6 linked regions of the Callithrix jacchus genome follow. The protein of the gene in region 1 purifies or fractionates together with the protein of each later gene. This does not show direct contact. Links are inferred from orthologs where the notes say so. Each region holds a gene or a part of one and is shown in the gene's direction. Other genes may lie near its edges. The genes, in order: PML, ZMYM2, NDUFS1, RARA, RELA and SQSTM1.

Region 1 (4,576 bases):
TCAGCCTCCCAGCTAGCTGGGACTGCAGGTGTGCACCACCACGCCCAGCTGATTTTTGTGTTTTGAGTAGAGATGGGTGTTCGCCATGTTGGCCAGGCTGGTCGGGAACCCCCGGACTCAAATGATCCACCACCTCAGCCTCCCAAAGTGCTGAGATTACAGGTGTGAGCCACCATGCCCAGCTGGCTTCTTTTCATTTGACGTAATACGTTCAAGGCTCATCCATGTTTCTATGTCGGAAGAATATTCCATCACATGGCTATACCACATTTTGTTTATTTACTCATCAGTTGATGGATATTTAGATTGTTTTACCTTTTTTTGGCTATTGTGAATAGTGCTCCTCTGAACATTCACCTGCGAGCTTTTGTTTAAACATCTGTTTTCCCTGCTTTTGGGTACATACCTGGGGTAGAATTGCTGGGTCATATGATAATTCTACATTTAATTTTTTAAGGAACTGCCTCTATTTCATTTGGAGATAGGTACACAAAGCACTCAGCACGTGCCTGGCATTATCAATGTATCATTATCAATGGCATTTCGAAGTGCCAGGTATTTCATATTTTACTTGTATTAACACATTTCATCCACATTACCATATGAGATAGATGTTATTATTCCCATTTTACAGAGCAGGACAGAGGCCCAAAAAGTTTTAAGCAATTCATCCAACTTGTGTAGTAGCTGACCCAGGTAGAGTTAAGGCTGAGAGGCAGAGGTAAGGTCCGAGGGAGGCCAGTTTCAGCTCAGCGGGAGGATTTTCTCACTGTTACAGGAGCTGCTTTCACCAGTAGTGAGGTGTGTCCCTGGAGGTGTGTGTGTAAGCTGGGCTAGTTACTGAGCATGTCCTGCGTTGGGCAGTGCGATTCCTGGGGTACCTTCAAGCCCTGTTACAACACTCAAGAACCAAAGCAGTCCCTGGGCGCCAGTAACTCAGAGTTGGAAGGAGGTGATGCCAGGTGTGGTGGCTCATGCGGGTAATCCCAGCACTTTGGGAGGCCGAGACTGGAGAATTGCTCAAGCTCAGGAGTGCAAGACCAGCCTGTGCAACATAGTGAGACCCTGTCTCTACAGTTTTTTTCTCTTTAAAGAAGGAGGTGATGTGATAGAGAGTTTGGAGGACTTCTTGTCCCCAGTGAGCTCGGAGCTTTGAGTCAGGGAGCCTGAACCTGTGAGTGGGTAAGCCACAGGTATTGGGCCAACCACAGGTCTGGGGTACCTGGCCTTGGGGCTGCTGCCTAGTCATTTCTGACCCAATTTTCCCAACTTTGCAGCCCGAGGAGGCAGAGAGAGTGAAGGCCCAGGCCCAGGCCCTGGGGCTGGCTGAAGCCCAGCCTGTGGCTGTGGTACAGTCAGTCCCCGGGGCACACCCCGTGCCAGTGTACGCCTTCTCCATCAAAGGCCCTTCCTACAGAGAGGTAAGGTTCTCCCCAGCCCTGGCCTCCCCTCCTGAAGGCCTGGATTCCACCAGGAAAGTGAAGTGGTGCCGAGGGGCGGGAAGCCAGGCCTTCATCAGATCAGCTGTTTGTGGGGAAGTGTTTGCTCAGCGCCTTCTCTATGCTGTCCCCTGTTCTCGGCTGCCTGATCTGGGAGCTCCCCATAAGCATGAACCACTCCCAGCACAGCAGGGGTGCTGAGACACTCAGGGCTGTCAAAGGCCAGCAGAGACTGGTAGACAGCAGATGGTGCCAGCTTGGGAAGGCTTCCTGTCTGAAGAGAGACATCTGCATGGCTGAGAGCAGAGGAGAGGGGACAACAGGAGCAAAAGGGTAGCCACAAGGCCCTGGCACCCAGGGCAGGCTGTGCCCACTCACCCCTTGAGGCAGCTGACCTGGCTTTGTGACTCCCTCTGTGCAGGAGGTCTCCAATACAACCACAGGCCAGAAGAGGAAGAGCATTCAGACCCAGTGCCCCAGGAAGGTCATCAAGATGGAATCTGAGGAGGGGAAGGAGGCGAGGTTGGCTCGGAGCTCCCCCGAGCAGCCTAGGCCTAGCACCTCTAAGGCAGTCTCACCACCCCACCTGGATGGGCTGCCCAGCGCCGAGAGCCCCGACATAGGAAGTGAGGTCATCCTGCCCAACAGCAACCATGTGGCCAGTGGCGCCGGGGAGGCAGGTAGGGAGGTGGGTAGGGGAGTGACCTGACCTGTGTGCTGTCTGCCAGGGTCTGGGTGGGCCCCCTCTTCTGTATTTTGGCCCCATCCAGAAAGCCCAAAGCCAACAGGAGTCCCTTATTCCCACTGAATAAGGCAGGGAAAGTTCACAGTGTGCATGGGGGTGAGGGTGGATACAGGTTACCACGTGCTTTGCTGTGATTAAGGTGTGGGGAGCCTGTCAGGCTAAAATGCACAGTTCTGTGAGTCCTTTCCCCAAAACACTAATCTTACAGTGCCCAGCACCATGCCTCTGCACAGGACAGGTCTCCACAAGAAATGTTTGCTGGCAGATGCCTCGTGCGCTCCCAGAGGGCTTGGGCACACCATCACAGGAAACTGGACTCCCCGTGACCTTAACTGTGCCCTCCCAGTCCACACCCATCATTTCCCCAGGTGTTGCTGCAAAGGCCACCTACCAAGTGTCTCATTTGTCTGAGTTATCCTCTGTGGACACCGCCAGGCAGGGAGTCAGCTGGACAGGAGTTGAGGTCCAACTCAGAGAAATCTGGAGCAAGAGTTCTTCCTGGATCTCTTCACCCAGACTACAGCTTTGTTCTTCATTCTAGGTCCCAGACTCAGCCCCAGCCCTGGTCACACACTGAGCATTGACTGATATTCCTTACCCACCAATGCTATTGGTCATCAATGGGTTTTGATTAACTAAATGAGGCATCTTTTAACTCTAGACATCCCAGCTGATGGAGCTGAGAATTGGGCCAAACCGCTGTGCTGCTTTAGGATTGCAGAAGGTTCCAAACCAGGTGGTGCAGGCCTCCTGTGCTGGGAGCAAATTCTGATTGCTGGGCAAATAACTTAATTGAATATTCATAGATAAGGTACAGCAAGAAATGATGGAAACCCATTTGTGAATTACATCCAAATGCAAAGCAGATTCAGACTGGCACACACAGTGGGTGTTCCCGTCGCCCTGCAGGGTATCCGTTGCCCTCAGTGCACTGGCCTGCAAGGATTCCCATAGGTGCATACCCACACCCCTCCCATTATGCGTCCTAGGCAGTAAGTAATTCAGCTCCCCTTCCCCATTTCAGAGGAGCGCATTGTGGTGATCAGCAGCTCGGAAGACTCAGATGCCGAAAACTCGGTGAGTGGCCCAGAAGTTCAGCCCAGGACTCCTGCCTACCCCCATTTCAGGTCCCAAGGGGCATAGCCACAGCAGGTGACTCTCAGATCTGCCTACGCCTGGGCAATTTTCCAGTGAGGCAGTGAGTCCCAAGCTGTGCTGATAACAGTCTCCAAATGCCAGCCGCATGCCTGGACCACCCCAGCCCTCCCACCACACCGGGGCAGGGGCCTTCAGTAGCCATATGTACTCCTCTGAAACGCTGATAGTGTGCATCCAGAACCCCGTCTCTTTTCCGGAATGTCCAGGGCCTTTTTCTGGAGCTCCCTTATGCATTTTCTGTCCTCTGAGTCCTCAGTGAGGAGGGCTGGACAAGAATGCATTTCCTAGTTAATTGCAGCCAGTGGGGGCCAGTGAAGGGGTGTGAGGCCACGGGGGAGCTGTATAGAGGCCAAGAAAATGAGGTTTGACTCTATCCATGTAAGAAAGAACTGTAAATCCATTCCACACTGAAACAAGTGGCCTCGTGGGTAGTGACCCTTCTGTCCCTGGAGGATTATTACTAGGAGCTGGGCTATCACCCGTCCAGGGGAAAAGGGGATCTGAATAGAGTGAAAGGATGGACTGGGTGGCCCCTGAGGTCTCTTCCAGCCCTCAGTCTGAGGTTCTGTATTGGAAAGTGCATGGAGCCCACGGAGACCGCTGAGCCACAGTCCTCACCAGCCCAGTACCTGCTGAGAACACAAGAAGCCTCCATCCTGCCGCGTGGTACATGCCATCCCCCGGCTTCGCCTCCCCACCAGCCCACTGAGCAGGCTGTGGTTCCTGACGCTGAACCTCAGAGCCAGCCTGCCAATCACCAGGAGCGCCCTGCCATCCACCGTGGGATCCGTCACCTGTTGTGCAGAGCACAGAGAGCCATCCGCCTTCGCCATGCCCTCCACTTGAACCCTCGATTGCATCGGGTCCCCCTTCGGACTTGGTCTCACCACGTGGTCCAGGCCAACACTCCTGCCACCACAGGGCCCCTCAACCATCCTGCCAGTGCCCAGGAGCATCCTGCCCAGCTGCAAAGGGCCATCAGCCCACCCCGCCGGATACGAGGGGCCGTGAGATCCCGCAGCCGCTTCCTCCGGGGCTCCTCTCATTTATCCCAGTGGCTCAACCACTTCTTTGCCCTCCCCTTCTCCATGGCTCCCCAGCTTGACACTTCTTCCATGGTGGGGGCAGGGGGAGGCAGAGCCCAGACTCTTGGAGCAGGTGTTCCCCCTGGGGATTCTGACAGAGGCCCCATGGAAGCCCCTCAAGTCCAAGTTCCTCGGGAAGCCTCTCCAAT
Region 2 (5,087 bases), on another chromosome or scaffold:
GGTTTCACCGTGTTGGCCAGGATGGTCTTGATTTCCTGACCTTGTGATCCACCTGCCTGGGCCTCCCAAAGTGCTGAGATTACAGTCATGCGCCACCGTGCCAGGCCGTACACGCAGATTTAGTTGTGGATTTATTGAGATATAATTCACATATCACGCAAGTCACTCATTTAAGGTATGTTCAGAGGTTTTTAGTATATTAGGAGTTGCGCAATCATTTCATTAAATTGTAGAACACTTTAGTCACTCTATTAAACAGCCTCATAACTTTTAGCTAACATTTCCTACTTCCCACCCCTCCAGTTCTGGGTAACCACTAATCTACTTTCTGTCTCTACAGATTTCCCTATTCTAGACATTTCCTGTAAATGAAATATTTTGTGGTATTTTGTGTCTTCTTTATTCACTTATAACGTCTTTAAGGTATGTCCATGTTGTAGCATATATCAGAACTTCATTCCTCTTTATTTCTAAATAATATCCCATTGTATGGATGTACCACATTTTGTTTATCCATTGATCAGTTGATGGATATTTTTGGGATGTTGGAAACTATGAATAATGCTGTTTCGAACATTCAAACATTGATCTTTAAAATTACTTTTATATAAAGTTAAGTCTGCTTTTAATATTATGAGAAAGACTTTTTTCCCTAGTTCGAAATTCTCAACTAAAATCCTCCCTGATATCAGACCAGCAAAGCAGTGAACAGTTTCACGGACAAATGTACCTGAATGAATTTTTTTTAAAAGTGAATAATAAATACTATATTTAGCACTGTTGCTCATTAGTTATATAAAACAGCAATAATGCTAGGGAATTAGTAGCAGCATAGCGCTCCAATTGAACACTGCGTAGCAACGCAATCTATCGTTTATCACAGAGCTTATTTGGAAGTAAGTCTACTTTACTCTTCTAAATATAAACTCAATGAGCTGAAGCGACTGCAATAGGATCTGGCAGCAGAAAAGGTATGGTGTAAGTTTTCACCGAATTGTTACAATTTGGTAGTAGAGAATGTTTCTGTTTTGATGATAGTGACTGTTTTTGTTGATGTTTATGTTGTGATGATAGTTTTTCAATCTAAAACAGTACTGTGTAATATAAAATCTTACATTTTAGTGTATTCAACACTCAACAATTTTAGTCACGAAAGTTTCCTAAAAATCAGTGATACTTTTTGAAAAGCTGGTTCATGTACATTTTGTGAATATTTTCCAATAAAAAAGAACCGGATATTCAAAGTATTAAGTCCAAGGTAGAAAGCCTACTTAAGTGTTTTTTTTTTTTGCCAATCAGTTTGAGCTTATGAGGTTGCTCAGGTTAGCCTTGAACTGATGACCTCGCCTTCGTGAGCGCCATGACCTCCGGCGGGAGCCACTTTGGACCCCCTACCTACTTAGTTTTAACTGATGAATTTCAACTTCTACTAGATCATCCTCTGTAAGTTATGTCTATTAGTTTACACATCAGGCTTTCATGGATGATTAACTTCACTAAAAACTTCACGTTCATCAACAGCGTGTTGAACTTGAAGCTGTTTTATATCTGTTTATTAATAGTCAATGGTGTCAGATAAGTGAAGTTGAGAAGTTGCCCATCCATTTGGGTGGGAAAATAACCAACATCAGTTGTAATCCCACTAAGAACCGCCAGGGCGAGACGAAAGCGGCATTGCTTCCATCTTTACGTGGTCTTGGAAATGGTTCAGCACCATGACGTCCGCCGAAGACGTAGGTGTAGACGAGGAACAAAAGAGAAGACCCCTCGTGGAGGTGGCCTGTGGGACCTGCCCTCCCCGGGCGCCGTCTGTCCCTGACTCCGCTCCCCCCCCCGGGGGCCGCAGCGGGTGCGCCCCGCGATGGAACGGGCTGTGTGTGGAGGGAGCCTCCATGGAGTCTCCATCAACCGTTGAGGACCAGGAGACGGTGACAGGCGGTGGAGAGGCCTGGGCAGGGCCAGCGCCCCGAGCTGCGGAGCAGAGGACGGCGGCGCCCAGGGACGACCCAGGGCGGGCTCCGGCCCCTCCAACCGGCGGGAGCCCAGCTCCAGGGGAGCCCGCAGCTCCCTCCATCTTGGTTGATGGAGGCGGGGAGCGTTGTCTGGGTCTCTCCACCGTCGCGCCCGTCCCCTACGGCCCCGCGGACGCAGACGCCGGCAGCCGGGGCTGTTCCCTTGGCCGAATGGCAGAGCCCAGTCGGGGCTTCCCGGGGACAAGTTTCCCGGCCCCACGGGGTTTGGTGTTGAAGGGGTCCTAAGTTCCTACAGCCGTTCCGACAAAATGGAGGACGTCGTCTCCTCCTGCTGCAGCCATGGCGGGAGGTGGGGGACTATTCCCCACGGGGCGCGGAGAGGGTGGAAGGGCCTCCACTGCCCCCAGCGCGCTCAGGGTTCCACTTCACCAGCGGCCCCGAAAGCCCACTCGGCCCCACTCCAGCGCCTCCTCGGCCTCGCCCCTCGTGGGGGCCTTCAAGGAACTGGACAGAGAGGGCGTTGGGGCATCGAGGCCGCGGCTCTCCTCGGGCAGAGGCGTTGAGAGCCGCTCCGCGGCCTGGGCACCCGGGCTCGGGCGAGGGCAGGCGGCCCCGCCGGAGTTTCCAGGGCTGTCTAGGTACCGGAGAGCCACGGGCCCCTAGGGTCCGAAGCGAAGCTGGTGCGGCGGGCAGTGAATCTCCGGCTTCTGACCCTGGCGGACCCTATGGGTGGGGGCGGGGGACCGGCGGGGAGGGGACGCGGCCGGGAGTCGAGGGCCGGCGGAGGCGGGAGTGGAACGGCAGGGCCGGGGGTGTGGCGTGCGCCTGACGGACAGCCCTTCGGACCACCCCACCGAGGGGGGGTCCTGAAGGACGGCCGTCATAGCCAATGGGCGTGCCAGAGGTGCCCCGGGCCGCCTCCTCCACCAGCCAACGAGCGCGCGGAGGGCGGGGCCTCCCCGGGCTCGGCCGCGCCGCCACCTCCTCCGCCTCCTCCTCCTCACCAGCGCTAAAGCCGGGACTGGACCGAGCGGAGTTGTGCGTGTCGCCGAAGGGGGGTGGGCCGGGGGAGGGGAGGTTCGTTCCGCGGAGCCACAGCCAGAACCGGGTGAGGCTTATCCCCGCTGTCTTTCCAGTCCAGGGCCGCCGAGAGTGGGGGTGGCTGGGAGCAGCGCAGCCTCCGGAGGAGGAGGCGGAGGCGGAGGCGACTGGGGAGGCGGAGATGGGTGAGGGCAGCCTCCAGAGCCTCCCACCGACCCAGGATTAATACCCCGCGGCGCGGCCGCCGTCGCCGCTGCCGCGTCGGGGCCTCGGGGGCAGCTCGGGGCTGCTCTCATGTCACAGGCGCCTTTGCGTGCGGCCCGAGGGGCTAGGAGAGTGCGGGCGAGGCCGGGAGGGCTGGGTGAGGCGGCCGCCAGCGGCGGGGGTCGCGGGGCCGGCGGGGCGGCGGGGCCGGCGGGGCCGGCGGGGCGGGGGTGCGGGCCGCCCGGGGAGGTCGCGGGGCATTTTCCTTTCTCTCCTGCGGGGGGCGGGGGAGGGGCGCCCCGGCCGGTTCTCCGCTCTCGGGGCCGTGCTGCCACCCGGTCCGCCAGAGCTGAGGTCCCCAAGTTTTTCGGGGCGAGAGCAGCCGCCTCTGCCCCGCCGGGTCCCCTCCTTCGCTCTTCTTTCCCTCCGCGCTGCGCTGCGCGGCTCTTGCTCCGCACGTATTGTTTGGCTGGGTCTCTAATGGCGGACGGGGAGGCAGCGCTGCCGGTCGCCGACTGCAGGGGGGGGCAAACCTCGGGCCCAGGGCAACTGCTTGGGGCAAATGTGGGCGATATCGGCCCAGCGGTGACGTGAGCCGCCTCTTACCTCTGAATTGGTACTTGGAGTGACGGGGATGAAGCTGGGTGGGCAAATTTAGGAGGGAATACAAATCCCTTACTGGCGTCGAGGCAACGTTTTCCCTTCCCCCCTCCCTTCCAGGAGCAGGCTCGGTGTCCTCAGGCCCCCCTCCCTTCCAGATTTTGCTTTTCACAAGGGTTTTGGCCCCAGATATATATTTTGCGCTGTTTTGCCCCACTTACGCAGGAGGGGGCTGTTGTGCGCATGGTGGGGGTAATAATAGAAGGACCGAACCTCCTTGACCTCTTATTCCCTCCTCTGCCTCCTTCTGGCAGAAAGGGTTGGGTTCTCCCATCAGGTTCTATGTTCTTGATACGTTTTTCATTTTTTCTCCTATCCCAGGACCAAGAATCGCCTTCAACCTTGTCTGGTGCATCCTTGGCAGAAAGTGAGGAGGAAAACACCCCCATTGTGAGTCTTTTGCCCCCAGTTTGTTGCTAGTAGAGGACATTGTCAGTTTGTAGGGGTTCAGCCATGGGACCTGGCCCTCCCCGTTGTTTTGAGGGGGAGGAGCTTTCCCTTGGGTGGCAGCTGCCCCCAAGGCGAAGCCTGGGTAATGGCTGGTGAGGCAGCTGGGAGTGGGCGCTGCTGTTTCCACCGCTGCAGACATCGCTCCTGCTGCTGCAATACCAACCTCAGCAACCAGACGACGGGCTTCTGCAGCTGCTCACGTTACCGGGGAGGAGGGGTGGTGCGAAGGAGGGCATATTTCTAGTGCCCTCTAGAGTTCCAAAATGGGAATTAAAGTTATTTCTTGTTGAATGCTATGCATGCAACCTTAACATTTTTTCTTCCTTAAACAATGGCTAATTGATTAAATGGATTGGAAACATAGAAATAACCATTATATTTTTGTTTATGTCTGTTGGAAACACAAATTTTGACCCAAGGCTCATAAGTTGCTAGATCTTTTTCTTGTCTTTGCTTAGGAAAGGGATGGAGTCCACTCCTCTTATACTGTCTTGTTCTCCAAGTAGTATGCTGATCAGACCAGTGTGCTGATCTAGTAACTTTCTTGGTTCTCCGTCTTCCATGTTGACCATCTTTCACTTAGCGATCATTTTTGAATGTGTTAGGTGAGAATTATCATTTAATTTGTTGGTTTTAAGGCAACCACGTTATGTGCTAGAGGGGAAGATGAAGATAGCCAATCATATTTTCCTTCAGGCAGTTGAAACTAATCATAAAATATCAGTGAAGTCCATTGACAATTGATATTGTAACTTGTCA
Region 3 (5,042 bases), on another chromosome or scaffold:
CTTCCCCAAACTTCCACCCTTGTTGGCAGTTTCAGAAGAATGGCCAAGGACTGAATGAATGAGCCACCCTCTCACCCCAGAGGTGGGCCCCCCAGGTCAGGGTCGAGGCACATTGGCAGGGCAGTGTGGGGAAAAGCTGAATTGCTGTTGTCCATGTTCTACCTGTTCTGTGAAAAAATGGAGGACTTCAGTCTCTTGGCCTTCTAAGGTTACTGAAAAATTTAGCTCATAATATCCCAACAAAGCTAAAGTAGCCTGGGTCCAGTTTTGTCATGTGAACATCCTGATTAACTTCGAGAGCAGCCTTATTGCTCAGCTAGACACAAAGATGATTTTACCTGGCCTTTTCCTTTTCATAGGACTTGATGTGATTATACCAACGTAGGGCATGACACAAGTCGGCAGGCGGTGGGCCGGACACTGCTTCAAATACTGCCACATCTGCTTGTGATGGCACATACCTGCCAATGACACAGAAACGTTCATACACACCTTTGAAAGACAAACGCCAGCGAAAATAATGCTGTATGCATCACATTAATTAGTGGGCACTAGCCCCGGCAGGGGTGCTTTAATGATTTTTTTTTTTCTTATCAGCTCCTTAAAATCAAACCATCCTTGGGTCGCCACGTTATCCTGAGAAATGTCTTCCCACTTAGTAGACCTCAACGATTGCAATCTCTAGCATTGCTCTATCTACAGTCCAATATTTTACTAACTGGGCAGCGACACGGCGACACCTGGCTGAATTAAGTGTAAATAAAGTACATTTCAACCTTTTACTGCTAGTGAACCGCTCCCCGGAGCCCGGGCTCGCACCACACGCGGGCCTTGGGAGATGGCAAGGAGAGGCGCTAACCCTTCATCCTCCCTCCCTCCCGGGGCAACCGACGCTGCCCCACGTGGCCCCGGGTCCGACCAGCCTCCTCACCATCCCGTCTCGGCCCGTCCGCTCACCCCTCGATGTAGCTCTTGTCCGCCAGGTAGTCGTTGAGCACCTGGAGGCCGGCGGGGCTTTTCAGGTCTCCGAAACCCATGACGTCTGCTGTATCAAGAGAGCTGGGGAGCAGCAGAGAGACAGAGCATACGCTTACAGCACCCCGCGCTCAAAGAGAAAAAAGGGCCTAGAGAGGCCGGAAAATTCCTTATATAGAGACGGAGGCGTTTCCCTCCACCGATCCCGACCAAAGGTTAAAGGTCAAAGTACGTTGGCATTCTCACTTCTCCACGTACGAATTGGGGGCCCTAAATTAAGTGGCCCACAAATTGTCCCTGGACCCTTCGTTGCGTTTGGAAATAAATTAATAAAATTGGCATGTTTTAAATTCGAACCTCCACAGCTCCGGAAGATAACGAGAACCACCCCTTGAAACGCCGGAGATGACCAAAGACGCTCGGCCACGGGGCTACAGGCCACTTCCGGCGGAACTGCGGGTCCAAGTTGTCCTTCCCGCCTCCCTGCTGGGCCGACCTCCGCTCCGCCCTCGGGTCGGCTGACGGAAATTGCCGACAGACTTGTCGAATGCGAGGATTCTAGTCCCTCCGGGCTTTCCGTTCTCCAGGCCCGGGTGACAGAGTTAGCTGAGGCCGCCATATTAAGTGAGCGACCCGGTCTCCGAAGGGTCGTTGTGGTCCGGACAGTTTAGCAAACAGCCTTCGCGGCTCCGGGGAGAAGGTGAGGTCTTGTATGGATGGGAAGGGTGAGGTGCGTCTCGGCCAGGGGTTTATTTCTTGACGGGACTGTTTCCTTTGGCCCACGCGACTTATTCTTCTCTTGTCCTTGACTGGGGCGCCGCCTCCCGCTCCGCAGCCTCAGAAGCCCCTGAGAACCGGCATGTGGGGGCTTTTAGCCACGGAGTCTGGTCTGATGAAGCAGAAAGGAAGAGGAGGATCAGGGGACACTTGGGAACGCTGGCCCGAATGCACGCTTGCAGGCGACCTTTCCTCTGCAGTGAAAATTCAGGACATTGCCCTCTCAGAGGAGGAGGACGTTTTGTTCCCCAGGAGAGAACTAGTGTCCGATGACTTAGGCGTTAAGACCGAGCCTGTCCCCCCAGATTTCCACACAGCTGGTACAGTGCCTGATTGTTTAGTCGCTGTTGCGTTTTCGTTCACGCCTCTGTTTGTTGATTTTGTTTTGTCCATTGACCACGTTGGACAGCATTTTATTCCTTTCACTGGCGGGGAAATTGAGAAAAAGGACTTTTGAAAAGTTAGCCCAGGATTGCATTGCGAATAACAAAACGTTGTTTACACGTTCTTGGGATCTAATGCTTATACTGTAAGATCTTGAATCAGGCACAACGCTTCACACACGAATTGACAGTATAGAAGTGTAACGGTAACTTTTGATAAGTAAACAGTTATTTTTGTTTTGCGGAATACTCTTGTTTTCACCGAGTTAAGGCTGCCAGAGCACCTGCACTTTTTAAATCCGGGGAAGTGCTCTGTGCAAGTTACGGCCAGAAATTAGAGATTCAGTTCACTTAACAGTTATTGAACATTTACGAGCCAAGAATACGTTCGTAAAGAAGAATAAAATAGGTGATATGACTGGGGAATCGTCAGGAAGTGTTAGATAGGCTGGACAGTGAAAATCTCCTTGAGAGAAAGTTTTTAAGCCAAGATGTGAAGGATGAGGAGTGGCCCGAAAGATGAGAGGGAAAAGCATTTCAGTCTGAGGTTACAGCGGTGGCAAGAGGGGAGGGGCTGTGTGGGAACAGTGTGGAAGTTTGGTGACCTGTTAAGAAGCTATTGAAATACTCCAGGCAAGGAATGATGGTGGATTGGGATAGGGTATACCTTGGATGGATGCAGGATCCATGTTGGAGAACGTGGAATAGTATGGCCCCTATACGGAAAGTTATCCAGTCCAGTATTAGAAATGATTGGTCATTAGCATTTTTCCATCTACAGAGACAAATATTTCTGTTACTACTTGGTATGTTGGTGTTCAATGCACATATGGAAGTGTTGCAAATCTGTGTTTCTTACGTTGGTCTATGCTTTGATGTTAGTGTCAACAGCCTAGTTCTAGTTGATGTCCTATCTAAAGTGAGTACTATTGTTATATCGTATTTTAAATAGTATTAAAGTTTTAAAATTGAATGAAATACTCATTGTTGATTTCAAATCTGTCAATGCTCTAATGCAGCAAGTTTTGGTTTACAATATACATATGCCATCAGTTTTTAATAGGACAGATGCTACTCATTTCTAGAACTTGGTGATACCGTGTTAGGTCTTCAGGAAGGGAAATATGCAAACTCTGTCCTCAAGGAGCTTACAGTCTGATAGGTACTAAAATTGATTACTAACCTACAGTTTAGTAAGTGGAATGATAAAAATAAATATGCAGTGTGTACTGGTACTAAAGAAAAGGCACAAAGAGCCCTTTAAAACTGATTGTCGGTGGGCTGTGGTGGTTCACACCTGTAATCCCAGCACTTTGGGAGGCCAAGGTGGGTGGATCGCCTGAGGTCAAAAGTTCAAGACCAGCCTGGCCGACTTGGCCAACCTTGTCTCAACTAAAAATACAAAAATTAGCCAGGCATGGTGGCAGGTGCCTGTAATCCCAGCTGCTTGGAAGGCACAGGTTGCAGTGAGCTGATATCATGCCATTGCACTCCAATCTGGGTGACAGAGCGAGACTCTTGTCTCAAAGAAAAAAAAAAGCCACACAGAAACTTATTGTCAGTGGCCACCAGTACTGCCTAAGTTGAATTCAGCTTTAACTGGCATTTATTGAGCTCCTACTAATAGCTCATAGTCTAGGAAGTACTGTTTTCCTCCTGCCTTGTAAGTAAAGAACCAGTAACTGATTTACCAAAAATTACTCGCTAGCAGGAAACAGAGTTGATGTTTGCAAATTCAGTATCACATATTCTTAATTAACGAAATGTTGAATTAATGACATTTCCTGTTGTACATCATCTGTGATAAGTGTGCAGAATTTTGTGCTTAAAACCAATGTATATGCACTGTTATCCAATAATACTGTTGCAAGTATTGAAACTTTACTGTCGAAATTTTTTTTTAATACATTCTAATCATATAATTTGCTGCTTCCTTTTTTGCTTGTTTGTTTTTTGTTGTTTGAGACAGGATCTTATTCTGTCTCCCAGGCTGGAATGCAGTGGCATGATTAAAGCTCATTGTAACCTTGAACACCTGGGCTCAAGCCATCCTCCCAGGTCAGCCTCCTGAGGAGCTGGGACTAAAGGTTCATGCCACCACACCCATCTCTTTTTTTTGCAGAGATGGAATCCTGCTGTGTTGCCCAGGCTGATCTCAAACTCCTCGAGGTGGCATCCCAAAGTGTTGAGACTACAGGCATGATGCCACCTCATCTGGCCAATTTGCATTTTTAATACCTTTAGAAGTTCCAAGTGATTTTGCTTAACCTATATGATCAAGCAAACAGGCAAAAAGGTCAGTGCTTACCCTATGTGATCAAGTAAAAAAAAAAAAAAACCAACAAGTTTAGAAGTTTTGGTAACTTGGATGGGCATGGTGGCTCATGCCTGTAATTCTAGCACTTTGGGAGGCTGAGGCGGGTGGGTCACATGAGGTCCGGAGTTTGAGACCAGCCTGGCCACCATGGTGAAACCCCATCTCTACTAAAAATACAAAAATGTTCTGGGCAAAGTGAATCACACCTGTAATCCCAGCACTTTGGGAGGCTGAGGCAGGCTGATCACCTGAGGTCAGGAGTCCAAGACCAGCCTGGCCAACGTGGAGAAACCCCGTCCTACTAAAAATACAAAAATTTGCCGGGGTGGTGGTAGGAGCCTGTAAATCCCAGCTACTTGGGAGGCTGAGACAGGAGAATCACTTGAACCTGGAAGGCAGAGGTTGCAGTGAGTTGAGATCACACCACTGCACTCCTGGGTGACAGCGAGACTCCCTCTCAAAAATAAATACATAAATAAATAATAAAAATGCAAAAATTAGCCTGGTGTGGTTGTGCACACCTGTGGTCCCAGCTACTCAGGAGGCTGAGGCAGAAAAATGCTTGAACCTAGGAGGCAGACATTGCAGTG
Region 4 (5,223 bases), on another chromosome or scaffold:
TCCTTCAGTTAAGATAATGAAGATGCTGAGAGATAAAATGTGTATTTAATAAGGGTGGGGGTAGGGAGGCAGAAAGGGGCAACCAGGGCCTTCCCTAGTTTGGGGCCTCGCCAAGACTTAAGCTGAAAGCAAAGCTAGAATAAGACTTGGCCCCAGGGTGTGGGGGTTTCTGGGCCTCAATCCAGCTGACTTCACTGCCTGCTGTTTGCCCTAAATTCCCCCACCTCCACCCTCTCAACCCCACACTGCTTTCTTCTTGCTCCCAATGGGAAAAAGGACTCTTGCTTCGGCTTTCTTTTCAGCTGGTAACTTGGCCTTTAGTGCGGTGCCCCCCACCCCAGTGTCAGCTGCAAGGTCGAGCTAGGGCAGCCCCCTCTAGCCTAGGCCTGTAGAAGCTGTGGGTTCACAGTGGGGGGTGAAAAAGCTGGAGTTAATGAAGACCAGCTGCTAGTCTAGGTTCTGCCTACAGCTAGCTGGAGGCCAGCCTTTGGTGGTGGTTGATGGGGGTGGGGTGACCTCCATCCATGGGCACAAGGATATCCTGTGGCAGCAGCGAGGCTTGTGCTTCTCTGAGTTTAGTTTTATCCTTAGTTTGTAAGAGAGTAGTCTATTTCCTTCTCCCCTACTCCTCTCCCCAAATAACACTCAGCTCTTACTGAACTTTATAACTAGTGGTGGCCCAGCTGAGATCTGAGGATCTCCAAACCCTTTTGTAAACACTCATTAACTGCCTGGGAAGAACGAAGAGCCCTGTTTAACAGCTGGGAGAGAACTGAGGCACATTAGGGTGAAAGGCTTGACCTAAACTCACCCCATGGACTCCACCCTGGGGCCTTCCATCCTAACTTCCCAGCTCCTTTTCTGAGTTCTTTCTGGAAGACAAAAAGAGGTGTGGAGGCATTGCTGGTGTCCTCTCTTCTAGGGAGAGGCCATGCCCTCTTCTTTCAAGTCTGTCCCTGACTTCCTCTGGCCCTTATGACATTCTCCCTGATCTGCTGCTAGAGATATGTGCAACTCTCCTTGCAAAATGTTCCCAATCCACAACTTCAGAATTCTTATCCACCTTTCTCTTGCTCATCTAGCCCGCCAAACCTGAATTCTCCCTTTGAGCTATTGAGAAGATTGGCTATACTAAACTGAAACAGTGACCTTGAAGTTGATCTATTGTTTTGAGGTCCCTGTGCCCCTATATTTATCCAGAATGGTACATAGGAAAATATTCTCTCTTTAACTTGTTTATTTTGGTCATAAAGATTCGGACCTTATTGAGGGCTGGGTAGGGGCCCTAGTTGACCTCTAGGTTCTGCATCCTGTTCTTCCACTGACAATTATCATCTCCAGTAATAGATGTAGCCCAAGGTCCTTTTTTGTTTTTTCTTCTTCTCTAACCGCACCTGCTTTTACTTTTGCCTATATAAGTATATTTGCAGACCCCACACACCCAGATACACACAAATTGGTCCTACCTGTTTCCAGCTGCCATCTAAGTTAGCCTGCACTTTTTACAGGCTGAAAATCTGTTTTTTTTCCCCCTGGATGGCCTGCCTCCTAGGCACTTGAGAATAATTGGGAGGGATGAAGAGACTCCTGCAGTCCACAAGGAAGAGGACAGAAGTGAGCATCCAACTAAAAGGAATGCTCCCTTCTCCAAATTTCTAGCTAAATGCCTCAGCGGGAGTGGCAGGAAAAGAGTTCTTAACCCCACCTCTAGCACCAAAACCTAAGTCCATCTGCTCAGGGCAGCCAGGAAGAAATGTCTATTTTCTCCTGTTTTATGTCATCCTATCCTCGTTATCCATATGCTGTGTATTTGATACTGGGAACTGTTCCCGTCCCCAGCCGGTGATCAGACCCCCATCTTTGTTCCAGTGCGTTATTTCTCCCCCATCAGTCCTCCACTCTGCACCGGCTGACCCAGTCAGGGCTGGTGTAATTGGGCGGGGAGAGTCTTCTGTTTGGCGAGTGGGCTTTAGGACCCAACGGGAACCCGTGCCTCTTGCAGCAGCCTAACCCAGAAGCAGGGGGGAATCCTGAATCGAGCTGAGAGGGCTTTCCCGGTTCTCCTGGGAACCCCATCGCCCCCCTGCCAGCACACACCTGACCAGGTAGGACCATGCACACCCCTTCCCAATTCTTCCTTGGCCGCCTTTGACTGGCCTCTGCTTCCGATCTAGCCGTTTCCCTCTCGTCAGTTCTGGCTTTCCCCATCCCTCCTCTCCTGTCACTCACTGTAGTCCTGCGAGGTGGGAGTCTCGGAACAGTAGGGTGTCTGAAAGCTCAGAGCCCACTGCACCCTCCAGCTCCTTTCCCGCATTTCTCCTGAGGCAGTCCTCGTTTCCTAGCTAAGAGTGGGGAGTAGGGGGAAGGTCTGCCCAGGCCCACGCCCTTGCACCCTCCTTTGCAGTATTGCCTAAAACCCCTTCCCCCACCTCACCTAGACTGGAGAATTGGCAAGTGCTGGGGTAACAGAGAGGACAGAGCCAGAGAGGGACCTGAGCTTTCCTGAGGGATTTCTTTCTTGCTTCCTAGCCCAAAGAGCTCAGGACGTTGTCCCCAATCCCTACTCACCTTGTAGGGGAACTAATGTCCCTTTCCAGGTTCATTGCACACCTGGGTGGCCAAGGGCTTTGCAGGAAGCTAGTGGAGGTTGTGAGCATTTTGGTGACCTTTTCCTCTGGGAAACTTCTTTCAGCTTAGAGCCCCCATCCCTGTCAACATCTCAACACCTTCTGCAGAAGCGCTCCCCCCTCCCCCCCACCCCCGACCCCTGTGTGCGTGTGTTGACAATGTGGTTGTAAGATCTAGAAGCTTTGGATAGAGGTGGCTGCAGGCATTGAAAGGGAGGGATACCAGAGTGTGGCCAGGCTAGAACAGGCTCAGTCCAGATGGCTAGGGAAGGGGGTGTGGACCAGATTGAGGAGGTCACCCAGCCTTGCCAGCTCCCTGAGCTCCTTTGCTTTCAGTCTCAGGCTCCTGGTGTTTCTCTAGAGCTATAAGGTCCCCGAGCTTTTGCCCCCTGCCCCCACATGCTCTCAGAGAGGGCTAGATGGCACCTACTGTTTACAGTGGCGTATTTTCTCCTGTGGTGGGCAGACAGGCCCTGCTCTCTGATGATGATCTAGGGCATGCCATTCTGGTTTGGTGGGTTTATAGGAAGGGTGTACACTGTCTGAGTTACCGTGTGTGAGTGTATATCTTGCTTCTGGGGGTAGTAGACTGGGGAGGGGGTGATAGAACAGACTGGTCACACTGAGAGAACTCCTCTAGTTCTCAGTGTGTGGTAGGGGTGGGTTGCATGTCCCTGTCTGGTAGCTGTGTCTAGGTGTGGGGTGTACTCTGCATTCTTCCATGGCTCCCCGGGTCCCCTAAGGGTTGGTTTTGGAGGACAGGGTAGATAATGGAGTGGCTTCACACTTTGTTCTGGTCTTGATCCAAGAAGGAAAGTAGAGATTCTGAGTGTGAGCAGTGGACTGGGAATCAGAGGCCTGAATGGAGACTTAGCCTGGTTATTTAACTATGTGTGTTTATGTAGGTCTTCCCCTGTGCTAAGTCTCAGTTTCTTCATTTGTAAAAATGGCTATCAGCAAGCAGGTCTGCCACCAAGACCCCACAGATAATGTATTGTAAAGCTCAGTCCAAATGGTAGTAATGGCTGGGGGGATCTAGGATGGAATCCTCTTCCTAAATCTAGGTCAATCTCTCTGCCTTCAGTTTTCTTCCCTCATCCTTTACCCATCTGGGAGATGGAGGAACCAGGCAGGGCTATTGCCCCGGGTACTGCAGAATTCCCCTGCAGGTTGTAGCTGTTGCCAGAGCACCTGTGGTCAGAGAGTACAGATCTCTCCACCAGGCATTTCTTCCTCTGGGGCCCCATACTTTCTCCCCTGAGCCATGTCTCCACCTTCCTTCTGCCATCCCTGCTTGGCGTCCTTGTCTCTCTCTCCCCTGCCCAGTGGCCTCCTTGTCCGGCTCACTGGGCAGGAGCCCTAATCGGATTCGACAGCTGAGATATGTGTGGCGGCTAAGAGCAGGCGGGAGGGAAGCCAGTGGGAGGATGGTATGAGGACTGCCCCTGGCACTGCCCCGGCCTCCCAAGCACCACCTTGGGCCTGCTGATTTCTTACTTGGCTTTGCCCCAAGGAAGGGGTGCCAGAGGAAGCTCAGGAATGAACAGGCTGGGGTCTGGAGACTAGGGGAGGAGGAAACACACCAAGGTCTTGAGGACCTCGTTGATATTTGATGGCCTTAATGTCAGTATCTCTGACTCTGATAAGGAGGAAAGGACAGCGATGAGCCAGGCGGCCCTCACCCTCGCCACCTCATTCCTATAGCCCCACTTTCTTTTCTCTTCTTGTTCAGAAATGTGTTCATTTTGCCTCATCTAGCCCCTTTGGTCAGTACTTCCTTATGGATCACATCTGGGAGCTTCTGGGGGTGCCACATGTCTGCCTCAATCTGGGCTGTTTCCTCCCCTTCAAGGTATTTCACTCTCTCTGGGCTGGGTGCCAGGACTCCTGGGTTTCCCGCCTGCCTGTGGTGCAGGGCTCCCCTGCAGGGCTCCAGAGAGTCGCTTAGCTGGTTTCCTTCCTCCTGTGTGGGGAGGGCCTTCCCCTAGGGTTGGGAGGTGTCAGGAATCCCAGGTGGGATGGTGTGGGGGCACAGTAGCCTCTGGCACTGTAGCACCTCAGCTTCTTCCTCCTAGCCTCTGACTCAGCTTGGGGGCAGCACATGCCCAGCCTAGCAGGCATGGCCTATTCTTGCCTCCAGGCTTCTGTCTTTATAGAAGCCTAGATCTTCTCCCATTTTTAAGCGTTTTTTCCCCCATGGTATCTGGGGGTGGCTATTGAAATCCCTGTGTTTTGGGGAGCAAGGGACTAACATAATTGAGGCTGGGGCACTATTTTGTCTTCCCTCCAGCTGGGCCAGGATGAAGGAAACTGTCACAACTTCCCCATGCCAATTCCTTCTGCCCTCAAAAGACCAGTCAGTGGAGCCAGGCCCTGCCCTCTGGGTGCCCACAATGTGGTTGGCACTGATTTGTCAGAAATTGGGAAGGTTTCCCTCTAGACCACTTGCCTCCTATCTCCTCCTCCCATAGGGTAGGGGCAGCTCTGTGATTGCAGGCACTTATGAGCAGGCCTCCCCCCTAGGGAAGGGGTGTGGGATGCCCCCAGGATGGCCAAGTTGGCACTAGTCCCAGGCTGGAGTACTGGACATGATTCT
Region 5 (5,060 bases), on another chromosome or scaffold:
GGAGCTCAAGACCAGCCTGGACAACAAGGTGAAACCACATCTCTACAAAAATTCAAAAACTTCACCAGGTGTGGTGGTGGTGTGCTCCTGTAGTCCCAGCTATGCAGGAGGCTGAAGTGGGAGGATTGCTTGAGCCTAGGAGGTCGAGGCTGCAGTGAGCTGAGATCGTGCCACTGCACTCCAGCCTGGGTGACAGAGCTAGACCCTGTCTCAAAAAAAAAAAAAAGAAAAGAAAATACAGAATTCTGGATGGTGGTGGCCCCTTGAGTTTTGCAGTGGGTACACGGGTGTTTATAGCATTAATTTAAAAGTTATAAACATACATGAATTTTAAGAAGAGGATCCATGCAAGATTCAATGATAATTTTATGTCATTAACCAAAGATTTTGATTAATCCATTCTGCCACCTGAAGTCTGCCTCCCCCGCCCCCTAACAAAAGTAAACACTTTTCTAATCAGGGCCAGCCACTGGAGAAACTGAAATGAGTGGGCGGGGTGCTAACTCTATTTTCACTTTTCTCTTCCTGTTTCTTCAGAGCCTGGGAAACAAGTCAGAATTTCCAATCTTTTCCAATTCCCACATGATTTCCTAATTTAAGACGAATTCAGAGAAAAAATAAAGTCTTTCTCCATCTGGAGAAGACTCCGCCCCCTGCAGTGGAGCATCCTCTTTCGGGGAGGAGGTGTGGGGTGGGGGTGCGCCAGCCCCAGCCCCGACACGTACGCGGTTTGGTCTTGGGGGCGATACCGGCACTGTGGGGGTCACATGACAGAATTAGTGGTCAGCCCTAGCTAGAGGTCCAGGGCAAACGCAGGGGTGGGCGGGGGCGTCGTGACTCTGCTGATTCAAGTGTCCCCTGGGGGTCCCGGACCTTCTGAGACAAGCGCCAGGCTGCGGAGACAAGGCTCCGGGGTTTACCCCCGGGCTCCTCCTGCTCCCACGGTCGCTCAGGGTCTAAAATGCAGTTCGGCTGCATCTTAAGCTGGCTCTTTAGCGTGAGAGGGGCGAGCCCTCGGCCAGCTCGCCGGCGGGAGGGCCTCGGTCGTCCCATCCGGGCTGCAGGCTCTGCAGAGCTAGTCTATACTGTCAGGCGAGGAGGCCCGGCCGCTCCCCTTCCCCAGAGCCGCATCTAGATTGGGGTGGCTAGGACATTTTAACGTGCTTCTGAGACAGTCACCACCGAAAGGCGCCTTTAGCGATCAGGAAACCCGCGTAGACTTCAACCACCTGGCCTTTGCGGGCGCAGAAGGCCAGGCTTGGCCTTTCCCTGCGCGGGACGGGTGGCCGCAGCCCAGCAGCCCTGGCTTAGCTCTAGACCCGGCCCAGAGTGACATCACCAACTCCACCGATCGCGGGAAGGGGCCCCGAAATCCCCTAAAAATAAAGTGAGTAATCGACGGACACGCCCTCCAGGTGGGGCCGGGACTCGGAAACTAGCCCAGCAGCCTGCCGCGCCAGCCTCTTCGTCCCCCGCGAGGCGCGCACTTGGCCCCGGCCCCCTGCGGCGGCTGTGCGCGCGGCCTCTTCGTCCTCCGCGCGGCGCGCACTTGCTCTCGGCCCCTGCGCCGGGCCGCCGCGGTGCAGCACGCAGGCGCGGCCGGATTCCTGGCAGTGACGCGACGGCGGGCGCGCGCGGCGCATTTCCGCTTCTGGCGAATGGCTAGGCTGTAGCGCCCGCCGCGGGCCCAGCTGCGACCCCGGCCCCGCCCCCGGGACCCCGGCCATGGACGGTGAGGTCGCCCTCTGACCCCGCGGGGTGGCCGCGCCGGGGCCGCCGGGGCTGTGGCGGGAGCCCCCGCGCCGCTTTCCGCCCCTTCTTGCGCTGATGGGCGCTGCGCAGGGAGCGGCCTGCCTGCTGGATGGTGGCGCGGGGCGGGGCAAGCGGGGAGGGATCTGACTCAGTTTCCCCTCTGGGTGGAGGGGAGGGCCTTAACTCAGTATCCTCCCTGGGTGGGACAGCGGAGGGAGCCTTGACTCAGTTTCCCCCCCACTGTCTATGGGGGCAGCTCTGGCTTCGTTTCCTTGTTAGGGAAGAACGCATCTGATTCAGTTTCCTCTCTGGACGGAGGTGGGGCGTGCCCTCCCCCAGTTTTCCTTATGAAAGGAAAACTAATTCAGTTGCCCTCGGGAGAGGAAGGATTCCTTACCCCGTTTTCTCTCAAGAAGCAGGTGTTTCTGGCTCCTTCTCCCCACCCTTTAGTTTCACCGCCTGTTCTAGGGAACGGGTCCTGACTCCGTTCCCCTGGGAGGGAGCCTGGCTTCTCTTCGTGGGGAGCAGATTCCCCCGGTGAGGATGGGCAGTGGGTGTGTGCTGACCCTGATCTCTCTCCCCTTTCAGAGTTGTTCCCCCTCATCTTCCCGGCAGGTAAGTGGCCCCCGCGGTGGTCGGGGAGGTGCTCCCTGGGGTAGGGCAGCGGGGGCAGCCACCTAATGGGTCTGCGGTGTCCCCTGGCAGAGCCAGCCCAGGCCTCTGGCCCCTATGTGGAGATCATTGAGCAGCCCAAGCAGCGGGGCATGCGCTTCCGCTACAAGTGCGAGGGACGCTCCGCGGGCAGCATCCCTGGCGAGAGGAGCACAGATACCACCAAGACGCACCCCACCATCAAGGTCAGCATTGAGCCGGGGAGTGCGGGGTAGGGACTGCGAGCCCCAGCCCTCTGTTTGGGAGTCAGGTTTGGATGTCTGGGCTTCTCTGTACTTTGGACAGATCAATGGCTACACAGGGCCAGGGACAGTACGCATCTCCCTGGTCACCAAGGACCCTCCTCACCGGCCTCACCCCCATGAGCTTGTAGGAAAAGACTGCCGGGATGGCTTCTACGAGGCTGAGCTCTGCCCGGACCGCTGCATCCACAGGTGAGCTCCCTGCAGTCTAGGAGGCCCAGCCTGAGGGGACAGGATGCGGGCTGTGAGGTAGACGCTACAGTGTTACTCCTTTCTGGACACAGGACAATTTCTCACTCCTTGCTCTGACATAGTTCTGCAAGTAAACTCCCTTTGTTTTAAAATTATCATTTATACCTCTACTCTAGCAGATAGGAGCTCTAGGGGATAGGGATGGGTCCCTAATCACTTCTGAATCCCTGACCCTGTAGCTGGAAGGGGTAGTCCGTCAGAGTCATGTCTCTTGTTTGAGAAAGAAAACCATTGAACCAGTACTCTCCCCGGAGTTGACATTACAGTTGACAGAGACAGACTATAAAAAAAATATACAGGCCAGGCGTAGTGGCTCATGCCTATAATCCTAGCACTTTGGGAGATGAAGGCAGGAAGATCTCTTGAGCGTAGGAGTTCAAGACTAGCTAAGGCAACATAATGAGACCTTATCTCTACAAAAAAATAAATTAGCCAGGTATAGTGTCATGTTCCTATAGTCCCAGCTACTTGGGAGGCTGAGGTGGGAGGACCACCTGAGGTGGGAGGCTGAGGTGGGAGGACCGGCTGAGGTGGGAGGACTACCTGAGGTGGGAGGCTGAGGTGGGAGGACCACCTGAGCCAAGGAGGTCCTTGCTGCAGCAAGCTGTGATCATGTCACAGCATTGAAGTCTGAGTGACAGAGTGACACCCAAGTAAATAGCCTGGCACAGTGGCTCATGCCTGTAATCCCAGCACTTTGCGAGGTTGAGGTTGGCGGATCATCTGAGATCAGGAGTTCGAGACCAGCCTGACCAACATGGTGAAACCCTGGCTCTACTAAATACAAAAACTTAGCCGGGTGTGGTGGTGCACACCTGTAATCCCAGCTACTTGGGAAACTGAGGCAGGAGATTGGCTTGAACCTGGGAGGCGGAGGTTGCAGTGAGCCAAGATTGAGCCATTGCACTCCAGCCTGGGCAACAGAGTGAGACTCTGTCTAAAAATACATAAACAAATAAAATATGAATAAATACACAGATAAGTAAACAAGGTACTGTCAGAGTAATACTTTCAGTGCTGAAAATAAAACAAGGTCATAGGATGAAAGGATAACCTGGGGTCGGGGAGTGAGGGGAGCTAGTGTAATGACTAGATTGGGAGGTCAGGGAAGGCCTCCCTCTGCTACTGCTTGAATGGTGAGGAGGAGGAGAAAAGTAGGAAAAAGAACATTCCAAGCAGACCAAACAAGTGCTAAGACCTTGAAGTGGGAATGAGTGTCTTGTGTTAGAGAAGGGAAAGGAAGCCCCTATGGTGGTAAGCAGATGGCCCAAAGGGAGGCTGGCAGGGGCGGGGGCGCAGAGGTGCTTGTCAGCGGAGGGGAGGGACAGGGTTCGTTGCAGCATAGTGGGAAGCCACTGGAGGGGGTTAGGTATGGAGCGATGATCTGCGGGTGGGCAGGGGAGGAAGGAGCAGGCTGGGCAAGGCAGGAAGGTCCCAGCTCTGCAAGAGACAGGTGAGTGGGGGTGTTCAGTTTCCAGAACCTGGGAATCCAGTGTGTGAAGAAGCGAGATCTGGAGCAGGCTATCAATCAGCGCATCCAGACCAACAACAACCCCTTCCAAGGTAAGGGTGAACCTGCCTGCCGCACCCATACCCTCTGTCACCGTTCCCAGCCCGCCTTTCCTGCATCTCTCCCTCATTGGCCAAGACACAATAAAGATGGAATCTTGCTGCCCTTTCAGTACTCTCCCACTTTACCATTGGGAAACTGAGGCCCAGGAGAGGACATTCAGGGTCACAGTGGAGGCAGTGCTGGGTTCTGCCGTCTCTAGGACTTGTGTTTCACACATGCACCAACAGCCCTCCCAGCGCACAGCTCCCTGTCCCCACTGATAGCACCTATAACCCCCCTTCTCTTGCTCTCCTGATCACCTGTTTTCCTGGCAGTTCCCATAGAAGAGCAGCGTGGGGACTATGACCTGAACGCTGTGCGGCTCTGCTTCCAGGTGACAGTGCGGGATCCATCAGGCAGGCCCCTCCGCCTGCTGCCTGTCCTCTCTCATCCCATCTTTGACAACCGTGAGTGGCCAGGGAGCCACAGGAAGGGGAGAGGGGTGGGCCTGGATAAGGAGGAATGGGGTTGGGTTGAGTGTGACCTGCAAGAGGTGCTCTTGCTTCATTCAATCATCTTGCATATCCGTC
Region 6 (4,576 bases), on another chromosome or scaffold:
CTAGCTTAGCTTGTACTCATCTCCCTGCTGAGTAAAAAATCGGGCTTGATGTTCCACCAAGGAGAAAGGGTCAGGAATTTGAAGACTGTTTAAAACAGGTACATAGGTCAGGCATGGTTGCTCATGCCTGTAATTCCAACACTTTAGGAGGCCGAGGCAGGCAGATCTCCTGAGGTCAGGAGTTTAAGACCAGCCTGGCCAACATGGTGAAACCTTGTCTCTACTAAAAATAGAAAAATTAGCTGGGCATGGTGGTGCACACCTGTAATCCCAGCTACTCAGGATACAGAGACAAGAGAATCACTTAAACCTTGGGGGCAGAGGTTGCAGCGAGCCAAGATCGCACCATTGCACTCCAGCTTGGGTGACAAAGTGAGACTCTGTGTCAAAAAAAAGAGAGACATAATAAATGTTGTGTCTGACCTGAGAAAGAGGAGTCCAAAGAGGAGTCCCCCTAGGGATGGGGTCTGGTGCTATGGTGCGTGGGTGAAGAGCAAGGCCAAAGGTGTGCAGACAGGGTCCCTTGCTGCTGCTCTGCTGCCTGGGCCACATTGCCCAGGTAACAGACACAGGGACTGGGAACCTCCTAGCAGGTTCTTGGTTGCTCTGCTGTCCTCACCTAAGGAGCTGAATTTTGTGTGGACTCCATGCTGGAATGCAGGGCCAGGGGCCTTGCTGGTGGTGAGGATGGATGGGAAGACTTTAGGGGGCCCCACTCCAGTGGCTCTTTCTACCCTCCATGTAGAGAAAAAAGAGTGCCGGCGGGACCACCGCCCACCATGTGCTCAGGAGGCGCCCCGCAACATGGTGCACCCCAATGTCATCTGTGATGGCTGCAATGGTCCCGTGGTAGGAACCCGCTACAAGTGCAGCGTCTGCCCAGACTACGACTTGTGTAGCGTCTGCGAGGGAAAGGGCTTGCACCGAGGGCACTCCAAGCTCGTGTTCCCTAGCCCCTTCGGACACCTGTCTGAGGTGAGCAGGTCCTCCGTGTGGGCCTGGGGTGGGTGCAGGATGGCAGGAACCCTGACCTGCTCACTGCCTGCCCCTCTGCTAATTCTTCCCTCAGGGCTTCTCGCATAGCCGCTGGCTCAGGAAGCTGAAACACGGGCACTTCGGTTGGCCAGGCTGGGAGATGGGCCCACCAGGAAACTGGAGCCCACGTCCTCCTCGTGCAGGGGATGCCCGCCCTGGTCCCACAGCAGAATCAGGTGGGGCTTGTTTTGGAACTGGCTTCTGAACGATGACTGTAGTCAGTCAGGCAGCCTGTGTGCAATTCAGGGCACCTCCCCGCCTTCCTTCCCCTGAATTCCTCTGTGCATCTGTGTCCTACAATCACACAAGAACCCTGCAAAGTGGGGAGTATTCTCTGTGTTGCCCAAATGGGGAAACTGAAGTGCCCAAGTGCCTGAGGCCACAAATTCACCTGCAGAGCCCTTCCCATCTCGGGAGGCTGCCCTCTTGAGGTGCCCGAGGTATAGGCAGGGAGGCCTTTCCTGCGCCGGGGTCTCTGCTGTACTTTGTTCTCTTTTGTGGTAGTTGTCAGGAAGATCAGAGCCAAAGTTGCTAAAGTCCTTTTAAACATAGTTGTAAGTTAAGACTTACCCTTAGCTTTGCAGTATAGATTTTTGGATTCTGATTTTATTAATCTTACTGTGTCCTGTGAATCACCTCACCCTTTGGGACAAAGATAAGGATGTTTGCTTGACTTTGAGTAAATAACACATTTACTCAAGGAGGTGGTCAATATTTATCCACAGTGTTCTGAGCGTAAGTCTCTGTGGGGTTACTGAGCATCAGGGTCACAGAGGAGGGGGAGCAGCACAGGAGGGTGGAGAGGATCATGGTGCAGGGGCAGGGGCCAAAGAGTGGGAAGGAGGAGAGAGGGTGCTGAATGGACTGCTGGACAAGATGTCTGGGATGAAAGTTACCTGGGAACACAGGAACCTTGGCAAGAAGGTGACAAGACTGTAACAAGTATCCAAGGCAGTAAAGATGTCTTTATTTTATCTTTGTGAAAATCAAAGCTTCTGGTCCATCGGAGGATCCCAGTGTGAATTTCCTGAAGAACGTAGGGGAGAGCGTGGCAGCTGCCCTCAGCCCTCTGGGTGAGTATACCTTCTTGCCCAGTGCTTTCCTAACTCAGCCTGCACTTTATGTAAGGTTCACCCGGAATGCTGCAGAGGAATGGGTAATTGACATATCCTTGACACTGGTGAGGCCTCATGTTAACACAGGTGCTCAAGGTTGAATTCCCTGACAGAATTCTCAAGCTTTCTACACGGAGTGAAGTAGAATCAGCCGGCATTTGGTTGGGAAAATCCCAGTAAGGGAGGGTGACCAGGCTCTGGTTGCAGGGTCTGCCTGTCACCTCTGACTGCTCTCCTTTGGGTGAAAAACAGTCTGCATTTTCCCCTAAGCTGGACCTTGGGATTTGGACTTTTGAGGATTTGGGTAATAGTTAGCTAAGATGCTATTTATCCTTTCCTTCTTTTAGTTTGCAACCCCCAAACTTTCCTGGGTGCTTTTGAATGCTGGGCCTGCATCAGAGGCGGGAGAAGGTGGAGGCAGGTGCTCTGGGTGACACCCAATTCCGGTGCCTCAGGTTGCACAGTGGGTCTGCTGGTGTGGGTGAACCCCAACGTGTACCTCCAGAGTGGTGCCATCTGACCCCAGGCATGAACCTAAGGTTCTGAGAACCCTCCCTGGTGGGCTTTAGAAAGTACCTGTTGTGTCTAAGGGTCTGGGGCAGAGCATGCAGCAGTAAGAAGTAAGAATCAGCAAATGAAGCCAACTTTTAGTTCAAGATGATGGTGGATCTGTGATGGCAGATGGATTGCTGGGACACCTGCATCTCTCTCTAGAAAAGCGAGCTTATCTTTGCAACTGTAGTGGCCGTCTCTGTCCATCTAGCCTGTCCAAAGGTGTTCAGTGTCTGAAAGAATGCTGCTAGGAGGGGTGTCTGAATCCTGTCTGCCACCTCCTGTGGCTACAGGGCATGACTGCCATTTCCAACTCTGCTCATTCTGATTTTTTCTTTTTTGAGACAAAGTCTCTGTCACCCAGGCTGGAGTGCAGTGGTGCAATCTCTGCTCACTGCAACATCTACCTCCTGGGTTCAAGCAATTCTCCTGCCTCAGCCTCCTGGGTAACTGGCATTATAGGTGCCAGCCACCACACCCAGCTAATTTTTGTATTTTTTTTAGTAGAGATGGGGTTTCACCACGTTGGCTAGGCTGGTCTCAAACTCCTGACCTCAGGCAGTCTGCTTGCCTTGGCCTCTCAAAGTGCATGAGCCCCCGTGCCTGGCCTTACGTATTCTGCTTTGAAGCAGCAGTGACATATTGGCATTGTTGCTGAACTAAACAGCCCAAATACATGGGGCTTCTTTACTGGAGTCTAGAGGCGAAGTCAGAGAATAGGAAAGAAAAATTGCTACTTTTTTTTTTTTTTGCGATTGAGTTTCACTTTGGTTGCCCAGGCTGGAGAGTGCAATAGTGAAGTCATGGCTGGGTTCAAGCGATTCTCCTGCCTGAGCCTCCTGAGTAGAGAGATTACAGGTGCCTGCCACCATGCCCAGCTAATTTTTGTATTTTTAGTAGAGATGGGGGTTTCACTACATGTTGGCCAGGCTGGTCTCAAACTCCTGACCTCAGGTGATCACCCGCCTCAGCCTCCCAAAATGCTTGGATTACAGGTGTGAGCCATCGTGTCCTGCCAAGAATCGCTATTAATGCTTTCCAGGGAGGGGAAAACAGTGGAGCACTGAGATTATGATTGAGATATACTATGCCTAAACCCTGCTGCTTACTCTGGACATAGTAAAGTTCTGACAGACTGCAGTGAATTTGGAGGTATGAACAAGAGTCTTTCAAAGAACAAAGGAGATATCCTTTGTTCACAAAACCAAGTCTAGGTTCAGGTAGAGACTTTAAGACAGTGCAGATCCCCAGGCCTTAACCTTTTTTGATCCTGGTAAATGGGTGTTGGTGGGGCCTGGGGATCTTTCTGGGAGGCTGCCTAGGTGCTTGGGGTCACACTGTCCCAAGATCCACCTGTGCTGGTGCAGCATCTCAGAACTGAACTGGATGCCCCATTTGGCACAGACAGGAATAATTTTGCAAGTGCTCAGAGGTCTTTGAGCACTAAAGGCTAAAGGTTTAAAGTGGATAGAATTGCTTTTTCCTAACTGAGGAGAAGCCTGGAGCTCTACAAACAAGGAACATTTTAGTAAAATAGACTGAGTGGTTTCAGCTGAGGAGAGCCAGTCAAGGAGTGGCTTACTCTGTTGTGGAAGTTAGGGCTATTTTCTTTCCTTTCTTTATGAGGAAGTATAAGCAGGATGACTCACAGGTTAACTGCCTAGAAGGAACTGTTTCCAGAGCAGGGCCCAAAGGGGAGTGAGTCAACAGCAGCCTCCCGGTAGCAGTGTGTGTGGGGTGGGCGGCGGCTTTCATGTGAAGAGCCAAGGCCTTTCAGAGCCACCACTGAGACCCAGGCTCCTCCTGGCTGGTAGGTTGCAGGCCCCGACATCCAGGACATGAAGCCACAGAGTCCATCCTGGACATGATATCTT

The links.
Region 2: the proteins of PML (region 1) and ZMYM2 purify together in Homo sapiens (affinity purification with western blotting; 3 studies listed by BioGRID, with this or other methods). This does not show direct contact. The link is inferred for Callithrix jacchus from reciprocal best matches to the Homo sapiens genes PML and ZMYM2.
Region 3: the proteins of PML (region 1) and NDUFS1 purify together in Homo sapiens (affinity purification with mass spectrometry; 3 studies listed by BioGRID and IntAct, counting the BioPlex papers as one, with this or other methods). This does not show direct contact. The link is inferred for Callithrix jacchus from reciprocal best matches to the Homo sapiens genes PML and NDUFS1.
Region 4: the proteins of PML (region 1) and RARA purify together in Homo sapiens (affinity purification with western blotting; 6 studies listed by BioGRID, with this or other methods). This does not show direct contact. The link is inferred for Callithrix jacchus from reciprocal best matches to the Homo sapiens genes PML and RARA.
Region 5: the proteins of PML (region 1) and RELA purify together in Homo sapiens (affinity purification with western blotting; 3 studies listed by BioGRID, with this or other methods). This does not show direct contact. The link is inferred for Callithrix jacchus from reciprocal best matches to the Homo sapiens genes PML and RELA.
Region 6: the proteins of PML (region 1) and SQSTM1 purify together in Homo sapiens (affinity purification with western blotting; 3 studies listed by BioGRID and IntAct, with this or other methods). This does not show direct contact. The link is inferred for Callithrix jacchus from reciprocal best matches to the Homo sapiens genes PML and SQSTM1.

What each region holds. Positions count from the first base shown.
Region 1 is NC_133509.1:20,936,179-20,940,754, forward strand, and holds part of PML (protein PML), read left to right. Parts: intron 1-1,277; coding exon 1,278-1,421; intron 1,422-1,860; coding exon 1,861-2,119; coding exon of another isoform or gene 2,120-2,127; intron 2,128-3,208; coding exon 3,209-3,261; intron 3,262-3,880; coding exon of another isoform or gene 3,881-4,576.
Region 2 is NC_133506.1:139,639,066-139,644,152, forward strand, and holds the start of ZMYM2 (zinc finger MYM-type protein 2), read left to right. Parts: upstream 1-1,676; 5' UTR 1,677-2,281; coding exon 2,282-2,322; intron 2,323-2,923; exon of another isoform or gene 2,924-3,375; intron 3,376-4,199; coding exon 4,200-4,268; intron 4,269-5,087. UniProt on the Homo sapiens protein: Involved in the negative regulation of transcription.
Region 3 is NC_133507.1:127,555,335-127,560,376, reverse strand, and holds the start of NDUFS1 (NADH-ubiquinone oxidoreductase 75 kDa subunit, mitochondrial), read left to right. Parts: upstream 1-1,570; 5' UTR 1,571-1,675; intron 1,676-5,042. Other genes in the region: EEF1B2 (elongation factor 1-beta), read right to left, coding at 339-461, 958-1,037.
Region 4 is NC_133506.1:92,950,619-92,955,841, reverse strand, and holds the start of RARA (retinoic acid receptor alpha), read left to right. Parts: upstream 1-1,998; 5' UTR 1,999-2,105; intron 2,106-5,223. UniProt on the Homo sapiens protein: Receptor for retinoic acid. Retinoic acid receptors bind as heterodimers to their target response elements in response to their ligands, all-trans or 9-cis retinoic acid, and regulate gene expression in various biological processes.
Region 5 is NC_133511.1:122,751,520-122,756,579, reverse strand, and holds the start of RELA (transcription factor p65), read left to right. Parts: upstream 1-1,639; 5' UTR 1,640-1,725; coding exon of another isoform or gene 1,726-1,732; 5' UTR 1,733-1,827; coding exon 1,828-1,864; intron 1,865-2,340; coding exon 2,341-2,367; intron 2,368-2,457; coding exon 2,458-2,609; intron 2,610-2,709; coding exon 2,710-2,858; intron 2,859-4,389; coding exon 4,390-4,481; intron 4,482-4,805; coding exon 4,806-4,937; intron 4,938-5,060. UniProt on the Homo sapiens protein: NF-kappa-B is a pleiotropic transcription factor present in almost all cell types and is the endpoint of a series of signal transduction events that are initiated by a vast array of stimuli related to many biological processes such as inflammation, immunity, differentiation, cell growth, tumorigenesis and apoptosis.
Region 6 is NC_133503.1:71,816,551-71,821,126, reverse strand, and holds part of SQSTM1 (sequestosome-1), read left to right. Parts: intron 1-745; coding exon 746-975; intron 976-1,069; coding exon 1,070-1,211; intron 1,212-2,027; coding exon 2,028-2,108; intron 2,109-4,576. UniProt on the Homo sapiens protein: Molecular adapter required for selective macroautophagy (aggrephagy) by acting as a bridge between polyubiquitinated proteins and autophagosomes.